Linked DNA regions of Rattus norvegicus. The protein of the gene in region 1 purifies or fractionates together with the protein of each later gene. This does not show direct contact. Links are inferred from orthologs where the notes say so. Each region holds a gene or a part of one and is shown on either strand. Other genes may lie near its edges.

What was found.
Region 2: the proteins of Styk1 (region 1) and Tmem259 purify together in Homo sapiens (affinity purification with mass spectrometry; 3 studies listed by BioGRID and IntAct, with this or other methods). This does not show direct contact. The link is inferred for Rattus norvegicus from reciprocal best matches to the Homo sapiens genes STYK1 and TMEM259.

What each region holds. Positions count from the first base shown.
Region 1 is NC_086022.1:166,824,802-166,829,408, forward strand, and holds the start of Styk1 (tyrosine-protein kinase STYK1), read right to left. Parts: upstream 2,938-4,607; 5' UTR 2,840-2,937; intron 1-2,839. UniProt on the Homo sapiens protein: Probable tyrosine protein-kinase, which has strong transforming capabilities on a variety of cell lines. When overexpressed, it can also induce tumor cell invasion as well as metastasis in distant organs.
Region 2 is NC_086025.1:10,373,515-10,377,855, reverse strand, and holds the start of Tmem259 (membralin), read right to left. Parts: upstream 2,953-4,341; 5' UTR 2,925-2,952; coding exon 2,703-2,924; intron 1-2,702. UniProt on the Homo sapiens protein: May have a role in the ERAD pathway required for clearance of misfolded proteins in the endoplasmic reticulum (ER). Promotes survival of motor neurons, probably by protecting against ER stress.

The DNA.
Region 1 (4,607 bases):
AATGGATAGATAGATGATAGATAGATAGATAGATAGATAGATAGATAGATAGATAGATGGATGATGTCTGTGCATAAATACATGCATATACCACAGTTCATTGTGTATATCTCAGAGGACTTGCTTCTCTCCTTCCACTTTTAATGGATTTGGGGGTTCATCTTAGGTTGTTGGGCTATGTAACAAGTATCTTACTAATCCATTTCACCATCCCAAGGAGTTTCTTTAAACAGTTTTGTACAGAAACTATCATGGTACCCAATTGCTGCTGGTGAACACACATTTTTTTTTCATTCTATCTTTGAGCAAGCTGGTGTGTTTCTCTATAAAAAGTATTTAAACTACCTTGCTATACATAGCAAGCAAAACATTGACCTCTGAGTAAAAAGTGGATACTAACAGTGACTCTCAAAGTCGAGGCATGAAAATAGAAGGTTCAAGACCTGACTGAAGCACAGAGTCAGTTCAGAGCCAGGTTGGACAACCACAACCCTGTTGAAAAGTAGAAAACAAAAAATGGCTAAGATTGGGCTGAAGAGATGGCTCAGTGGTTAAGAGGGCTCACTGCTTTTGGAGAGGACACCAGTTCAGTTCCCAACACCTGACTCCAGTGGTCCACAGATGCCCCCAACTCCATTTCTGCAGGATCAATGCCTCTTGGCTGCACTTATGTGGAATGGTGTATGTGTCTACATATATACAACTAACACAGACACAAACATAATGTAAAAGTTAGTAAAAGAAAAGATGTGTATGGGGGAAGAGAGAGAGAGAGAGAGAGAGAGAGAGAGAGAGAGAGAGAGAGAGATCTGAGGATATAGTGGTAACAGGACCCTGAGTTCACTCTCCAACAATGAGAAGAAAAAAAAGATGAAACATTACTCCCTCTTCCCACAATGTCCAAATCTCTGGAACCTATTAATAGGTTGATTTTATTAGTATTAAAATTAACATTGCAGATGGTGCAGATGGGATTAATCAAATAAAGAGAAAGAGTGAGTCTGGTGTGTCACAAATACCCTTAAATGGTCAAGAAGGGGACAAAGCATCAGTGTGAAGGACTGAAAAAAATAAATAAACCCAGGCAGTGTGGGGTATGAAGGTGGACAAAAGGGCATCGACTCAGAAATATGCCAGAGACTCTAGAAACAAGCAAAACAGGGAACTGATTTTCCTTTAGAGTCTCCAGGAAAAGAGAAACAGATCATCCTGCTCTTATTTGACTGTGTTTTATGCCACCAGTTTTGGTTATATATATATATATATATATGTACATATATACATATATATATATATATAGTGTGTGTGTGTATGTGTATGTGTGTGTGTGTTCATTGGTTACAGCAGCTGCAGCACAGGTGAGAGCTCGTGGTGTAACAGAAGAGAAGTGTAAAATCACAGACCGTGCAACTTCAGAACATGTTGAGAGCACAGGGAGTGGTGCAGAAGGTGGGAAGAGGACTCAGCAGGAGACAAGAGGTCCTGACTATTGTCAGGGGTTAAATTGTGACTCCCCCCCTGCCTCCATGCGTATTTGATATTGCACCTTCTATGCCCACATTTGACATTTAGAGACAGAATCTTTTAAAAGGTAAATAGGATTGTTCTAAGCCTAATATAACTGCTCTACTTACAAAAAAAAAAAATGAAAGGCAAAGGCAGACAAATGTAGGGGGCAGAGGCATTATATTTTTGGTTGTGAGCCTAGCCTTGAATGGCTGAGCCATCTCTCCAGCCCATGGGGGGAGGCATTACAATATAAAGACAGCCATCTATCAAACCCAGTAAAAGGCCCAGAATAAACCCTTCCCATGGAGCGCAGGAGCAACAGTCCTGAAGACATATGTACTTAGCACTTGCCGTTTCTACAACTTGAAACTAAAGGTTTGGTTGTGCAAACCCTGATTGATCCTACTCTTAAGTGCCAATAATGAAGCAAGGGGGTGGGGAGTAGATTATAATTTGAAATAGCACAAATACTTTGGGATGACTCAGAAAAAGGATCAGTCTCTAGGGGCTGTGAGTGGAAAAGCTGAATGTGACAAGGTGATAAATCAGGCAGTTAGCAAAGTCCAGTGACCACCCAGGTCCACCACAGTAAACCAGCAGCCCCTGGCTTTTTTTTTCTACATCCACTGATGGCTTTTAGTAAGCAATGGGGGGAAGGCATAGCCTCATACACAGAAGAAACTCACATGGGAGAAGACTCTTTACAGAAGGAAGTAATACAGGAAAGAGAGGAGAGAGAGAGACAGAATGAGAGAGAGAGAGAGAGAGAGAGGTGGGGGAGGGGAAGAGAAGAGAAAAGAAGAGAAAAGAGAAGGACTGAGGAACTGAAAGAAAAAAGAGAAGAATAAAAAGACGATAGATTTGGCTCAAAAAAGGACAACATGTAATTTTGAAATATAAGATAATACAAATATTATCTCATTTAGAATAGAGAATCCGCAGCCTTGTACGGTAACTGGAACCAGAATGCCTAATTACCAGGCTGAGTGTACTAAACCCAAGGTACCCATTTGAGGGGCTACAGACCCCCAGTTAAGTAATGGGCCCTCATTCTTTATATACTCTCTAGGTTCTGGATGTTCCTTCTCCAAGAATCTCATCTTCTGTTCTCCTTGCCAAAAATGACGTTTTCATGTAATAAAAAAGACAGAAATCAAAAGCCACAAGACACTTGCTCCAAAGAAATAAAGATCATGCACCTCGGTTCTCATACAGCCAGCCAGCCTGGCCATTCCACCCCTAGTCTTTCCATTCTTCTCCCCAAACTTCAAACCACCTAGATTCACCCCTGTGGCTCACCCTCCCTCTGACCTAAGAAGCAGGCTGGTACCTTGTTCCTCCTCAGGTCACTCTGGTTTCAGGTGGAGCTGGCCATTCAGGGGACTGGAAGAGGCAGGTGAGGCACAGCAAGGTGTGCCAGCCTCAGGGAAAGGCTTTAGGCTTTCCAGTCTCAGCTTCGCCTAGTGGGGCGTGGCTGCCCTCAGAGGATGAAGTTGGGGCGGGCGCCCCACAAAGGGAAATCTGCGGGCGCTGAGGTTTCCGGAACTCACCACATAGCAGCCAGCAGGAAACCTCGTCCGAAACTGTAAAACTTGGACTTGTTGCCAAGCGACGCGCTCATTTTCGATTGCGATTGCCAGGTGAATGAACTGTGCAAAAGTCTCTTCAGGGCAGCTCGGAGCCATGGTGCAGGCCAACAGCGCCACCGTCTGGTAGACCCTGTATCAGCCGTTTTCCTGGGAATTCGAAATTGTCAAAACTCCAGGCACAGTATACTACAAAGACAAAAGAACCACCAACACAACACGGAGAAACCTAAGAGTAATAAATGCAAAATAAAGTCCTAGAAGTACGTCATCAAATATTTAGTACAAAGCTTGCTTTAGAAACATGTTCTGGAGCCTCCTTTCTCCTGGGGAAAGGTGTGTGGGGAAGGGGAGGTATCATACACTCCTTTGTCTAAGCCCTCTTGATGTACAATTGAACCTTAGATGGGAATTATAATTCAAGTGGTAGAGTTGTTTCATCAAAAGGACATTTTTAAAACCTAAAAAGTGTTTAATCCCGAGACACACTGCTATGAAACCGTTTCAAAGACATTTAACATGAAGTGAGTCAAGCGATTCTTCTCACTTTATCTGGAAGCACGGAGACCTCAAAGAGAAGATAACGCCTTGACATGTCAGAAGCTTTCCATGAACGGCTTCCCCGGCAATAAGAGATCAGCAGAGACGCTCTGATGGAGCTGTGGTCAGATCCGGAATCACTGCAGTGGTGCCTGGCACCTTAAGCAATTTCCCAGGATACTGAGGAAACTGAAGCCAGGTAATGAAACTGTGGGACCCAGATAGGAGTAGATATGTTGGTAGTTTATGAGTCTCTTACCATACTGAGGATTCTTGGGGTCATAAAGGAAAAATTTTGTAAGGGGAAAAAAAACAGGTATTGTATGATCAGCTGAAGAAACAAGGAAGTAAATGTGGGCTGTTGCCCTTAGCGTGACCTTGTGTTAACACTGGTTTGGTGTAGCCCAGAGAGTGTTGGTCATGAGTAAACGTCCACATGTGATTTATGTTAGCTTTAAATTCTGGTAGCTCAGGTCATATGTTAGTTTTCTATTGCCGATTTAACAAATTACACAAATGCAGTTGCTTGGCTAACACAGATAATGTCCCGCAGCTCTGCCTGCTGGAAGCTCGACAAAGGTCCCCTTGTACTAAAATGACTGTATATATTCCTCTATGGAATGTATATGGAGAATCTTGGGAAAGATTGGTTTCCATGGTTTTCCAACATCTAAGACGTTTCCCAGACTCCTTGGTTTGGTCCAAACTCCTGCCTACCATCGTCATTATCCACAGTGGGGCACCATTGCTGGATTAGCTTCAACTCTGTTTGGGCTTTCTCAGAGCTGAGGACTTGCTACCAGACAGATTAACTCGATAACTTTTCCTTCCACCTTCAAAGCTAGCAAGGCACTGACAGGTGGAGCCCTTTCACCTTTTTCAGTCATAGATCAAATCCAGGAGCTCACTTAGACTAGGAAGTCCTTTACCACTCAGCTGCACCCGAATCCTAGTTTATTTTTGGGAGAGGTT
Region 2 (4,341 bases), on another chromosome or scaffold:
ACCCTGCACCCCATGCAGATGCCTAGGGTAACCCCCGTCTGTGGCCCCAACTGACACCTTAGCTTCCCGCCGTGTCTCTGCTGGCCAGCACAGACCCCAGCTGTCTACAGATTCATAACCCTGCCCCTGGCAGGGTGATGGGAATCTTCAGGGCCCTGACGGTCCTTAGCAGCCCTGCACACCCAGTGTGTGCATGGGAGTCGCTATGCTCTTCAGGGACGAGGCTGGACTCCCAGTCCACAATCCCAAGGTGCTCAGCCACAGCGAGCACAGTAGGGCCCTCCCTGCCTGCTGTTAGGCAGCGCTGTAGGGGACACACGTGACCTAAGACCAGGAGCAAGCACAAAGACCAGGCTCCATACCCATGTGCCTGCTCCTCAGGCCTCTCCTCTGTAATCTGGTGACAGAGCTGCACCCACAGAGCACCTAGCCCTCCGAGCAGTGACCCGAGGGGATGCAGAGCAGACAGGGAAGGCCCTGGGACTGAAACTAAGACTGCAGTGTGGAGCCAGCCACACTTGACACTGGCACCCACACCTGTCAACTGTGAGGCTCCCCTGGGCAGGAAATGGATTTTTGTATTGGGTGAAATGACGGCTGACCAGCCCAGGCTGAGACCCCAGCAGCCACGCTTGCCAGTCCAACCAAGAGCCAGGAACTGTGTCACCAGCTCTGTCCCACCTACTGGGCATCTAGACTCAAAGGGAGGTAGCCACTGTAAGGGTGGACATAGCCTGGGCTTTCTCTTCCCACCGTGGCCACTTTGGCCAGTGCACAAGTCCTCGCCTGTCACTGAGCTAGAGCCTGGCATCCCACTCAGGCCCTTGGGCACTCCGCCCCCATCTGCCCCTTGGTGCCAAATACACAGGCACTGAACCTGGTCACATCAGCCTGGTGGGGACTGCATGCCATCACCTCCTGCAGACCCTCAATGCCACCATCTAGGGTTCTCAGGGTACCTCCTACCCTGTAAGCAGGGAGTGTCTCATTGTCACCCCAGTCTGGCATCTGGAGCTGTCAGTCCATCTGACCAATAGGAAACCTGCACTGGGTATAGACTACCAGGCTCAGCCACGATCTCCAGATCTTAACCCACCCAAGGGTTCCACTTAGCACCTTCTGGGGCTCAGATCCACTTAGAGCTGGTGTCATTCACCTCCTTGCCCTTTGACGCTGGCCCACATCCTAAGGTCTAAGGCACCATGCTGTGCCACAGTCTATCCCATGTGTGTCCCACGGTCGCCCACTTGTCAGCTGCTTAGCCCAGGTGCTTGGGGCCACATTCTGTGTCTGCCCAGTTTCAGTCTTTGAGACTGTGAAGCCAGCAGAGAGGACACCAAGTCCAAAAGCTCTTCCCTGGGCCTGTCAGAGCTGACACCCAGGCTGGGGTGGGGACAGGGTACAGGGCGGTACAGGCCTAGCAGCCTTGGCTGCCAGGCACGTCCCCTCTATGAAGGTTGGGCGGAAGCTGGGTAGGCAGGAAACACAGCAAAAGGGCTCCCTGAAACCTCGGCAGCCCCAGAAACCAGCTGCTGTATGGCTTGTCTGTCCCGATTAAGAAAAAAGTGTGGGGTCGGGGCTGAGGATTTAGCTCAGTGGTAGAGCGCTTACCTAGGAAGCGCAAGGCCCTGGGTTCGGTCCCCAGCTCCGAAAAAAAGAACCAAAAAAAAAAAAAAAGAAAAAGTGGGGGGTCAACTGTCATCCAACAGACCCTGTCTCTGACAAGGTATCGGGTACCCCAAGCTGAGGGCCACCACTGGGGACTCAGGGTGTGGAAGGCAGGGAGAAAGAAGGGGCAGTGGCAGACTGCAGACTGTGGACTGGAGCCTGAGGGGCTCAACCCCACATCTGTTTCAATCTCATGCTGGAAGTACTTCCATGAATCCCCCAAACTGACAGCTTTGAAACAGTGCTAGGAGCCAGTCCCACATTCACCAAAGCCACCGGAGAAGGCAATGCCCTCCAACATCAGCACACCCACCACCATGCCATGCCCCCAACACCAGATGGCCCAGGCAGCTCCTCTCAGAGAGAAGCCTAGGGACAGAGCCTGGTGGCTATCCCTCTGGAGTAGCCTTTGTTATATTGAGAACTCAGTATCTCTCAGGAGCACACCAGGAAGACACAGCAGAGCAAGTACTGGCTACAGAGGTCCCTGGCCAATGTGGCTGTGACTTTGTGGCTAACCCTAGCGAGGTGACCCCACCAAAGCCACAAAAGATCTGGCAAGAAGTGACAGAGAAGAGCAGGGACACTGGGAGGGCTGGGGACTATCCCCAGGTGAGCTTCAGGGTGTGTTAGGATGGAAATGACAGGCGGGACAGGGCCTCCAGCACAGGGGGTTGTCCACAGTGGAACTTCAGGATGGGATGGAACTGACCACACTGTTCTCAGTGGAGGTGCAGGACAGAATGGGAGTGACAGGTGGGAGGGGGGGACCTCGAGTCCAAGATACTACCTCAAGAAGACACTGGGCTCTGGTCTTGGGTGGAAAAATTTGGGGCCTAGGTTCCCAAGTGGCAGAGTCAGAGGCCAAAGGGCAAGAGGCGGGGCCTGAGAGCTGAGGAAGTGGGGATCAGAGGATGCATCTGTGAGAAGATTGGCATCAGGGTATTCAGGCCAAGTCAGGGGCCAAGTGGTAAAGCTGAGGGGGTGGGCAGGTGGATGACAGCTGGGGTCAGAGGTCAGGGGTCAGAGGTCACCTTGAGCAGAACGAAGAACTCAAAGAGGCGGCGGAAAGCAGGTGGGAAGAGGCGTGAGTAGGTGACGGCCATCTTGAAGAAGAGCGCGTGGAAGAGCCGGTCGCGCACGTTGATGAGCGGGTTGGGGTTGAGATTGGGGCCGCGCGGGCCGCGCACGGGCGCCGCGCCGCCACCCCCGCCGCCGTTGGGCCCGGGCCCTGGGGCTGCCGCGTGCTCCGACATCACCGCCCCGCGTCACCCCGGCGGCCGCCGGCTGCCCCCCCGCCGTGTCCCGGCCGCCGGATCCCCCCCGCCGCCCCCGGCCGCCGCCGCCTGCGCCTGTGCTCGCGTCCGTCCGGCCCGCGACGCCGGCGAGAGCGCCGGGCCAGAGCGCCACCCGTGCGCGGGGCACGCTGGGATCGCCACGGCCGCCCGAGGAGGCCGGGCTTCAGAGCCGGAAGGCTGGCACCACAAGTGGGCGGAGCCTGGTTACTGCTCTCAAACTTCAAACCCGTCGCCCCAGTGCTAAAAGGCCGGAGTAACACGGAGTTCAGTTTATTTTCCTAGTCCTCCTTAAAGCTTTGGTCGGTCTCATTTGCTTTGGGCTTGCAATTTGCGGAGGCTACACGGAGCGGAATAGAGAGGAGCCCGGTTCATTTGCAAAAATTCACTCCCACACACTGTGGCATGGTCTATGGCAGAGTCGTGTGTCACGACTCATTTGCACTGAGCTAAAATAAAAAAAAATCTTTTATATATGTGAGTACACTGTAGCTGCGTTCAGACCAGAAGAGGGCATCAGATCCCATTACAGATGGTTGTGAGCCACCATAATGGATGCTGGAAAATGAACTCAAGACCTCTGGAAGGGCAGTCAGTGCTCTTAGCCATCTCTTCAGACCAAAGCTGTATCTTAAGCATTGAGCTTAGGGGCTGGAGAGATGGCTCAGCCGTTAAAGGTTAGGCTCACAACCAAATATATAAGCATTGAGCTTAGGCACTGAGGCAGTGTCGCGTACAATCCGTTTCGTTTGTGTAGGGAACCAGGTTCGCGGCGGTCGAGCTATGGGGCGTGGTCTCAGAAACAAGCTTAAGCATTTGCAACTAGTGGGCGGGGCGACGTTGCTAGTCTTATCTACACCGGGTTTTCTATTAGCGGAGGATCAGAGGGGGCGGAGACGCATGTAGCAAGGCCTATTTACTATTTACATAGGGCTTCACTACGGCCACAGCCTCACTTAGGGGCGGAGTCCGGTGGGGAGTCATTAGCATAGCCCGTTGAGGAATCATTACCAGCCTTGCCCTGGGAGGCAGAGCTTTCTAGCACTGTTCATTAGGGGCGAAGCTCCATGGGGATAGTTTACCAGCATTCAGTTTGCCCATCGCACCAAGAGCACGGATTCCCCGCCGATCGGGCTGGGCTACCACTGAGGGGCGGAGCCGCGTAGTATCTGTCTAATTTGCATATGGCTTCCCAGAAGGCCTTGCTGGTGCAGCTTCTCCCAGATGGCTACATTAATTAATTTGTAAGCTTTTACGCGCATAGATAATTATGTTCAGCGTCGTTACGAAGGGTGGCCCTTCCTTTTGACGTATAAAGACATCACTTTATATACACAAAAAAGCACAACTACTCTATGTGAAAAGTAATTATATTCCC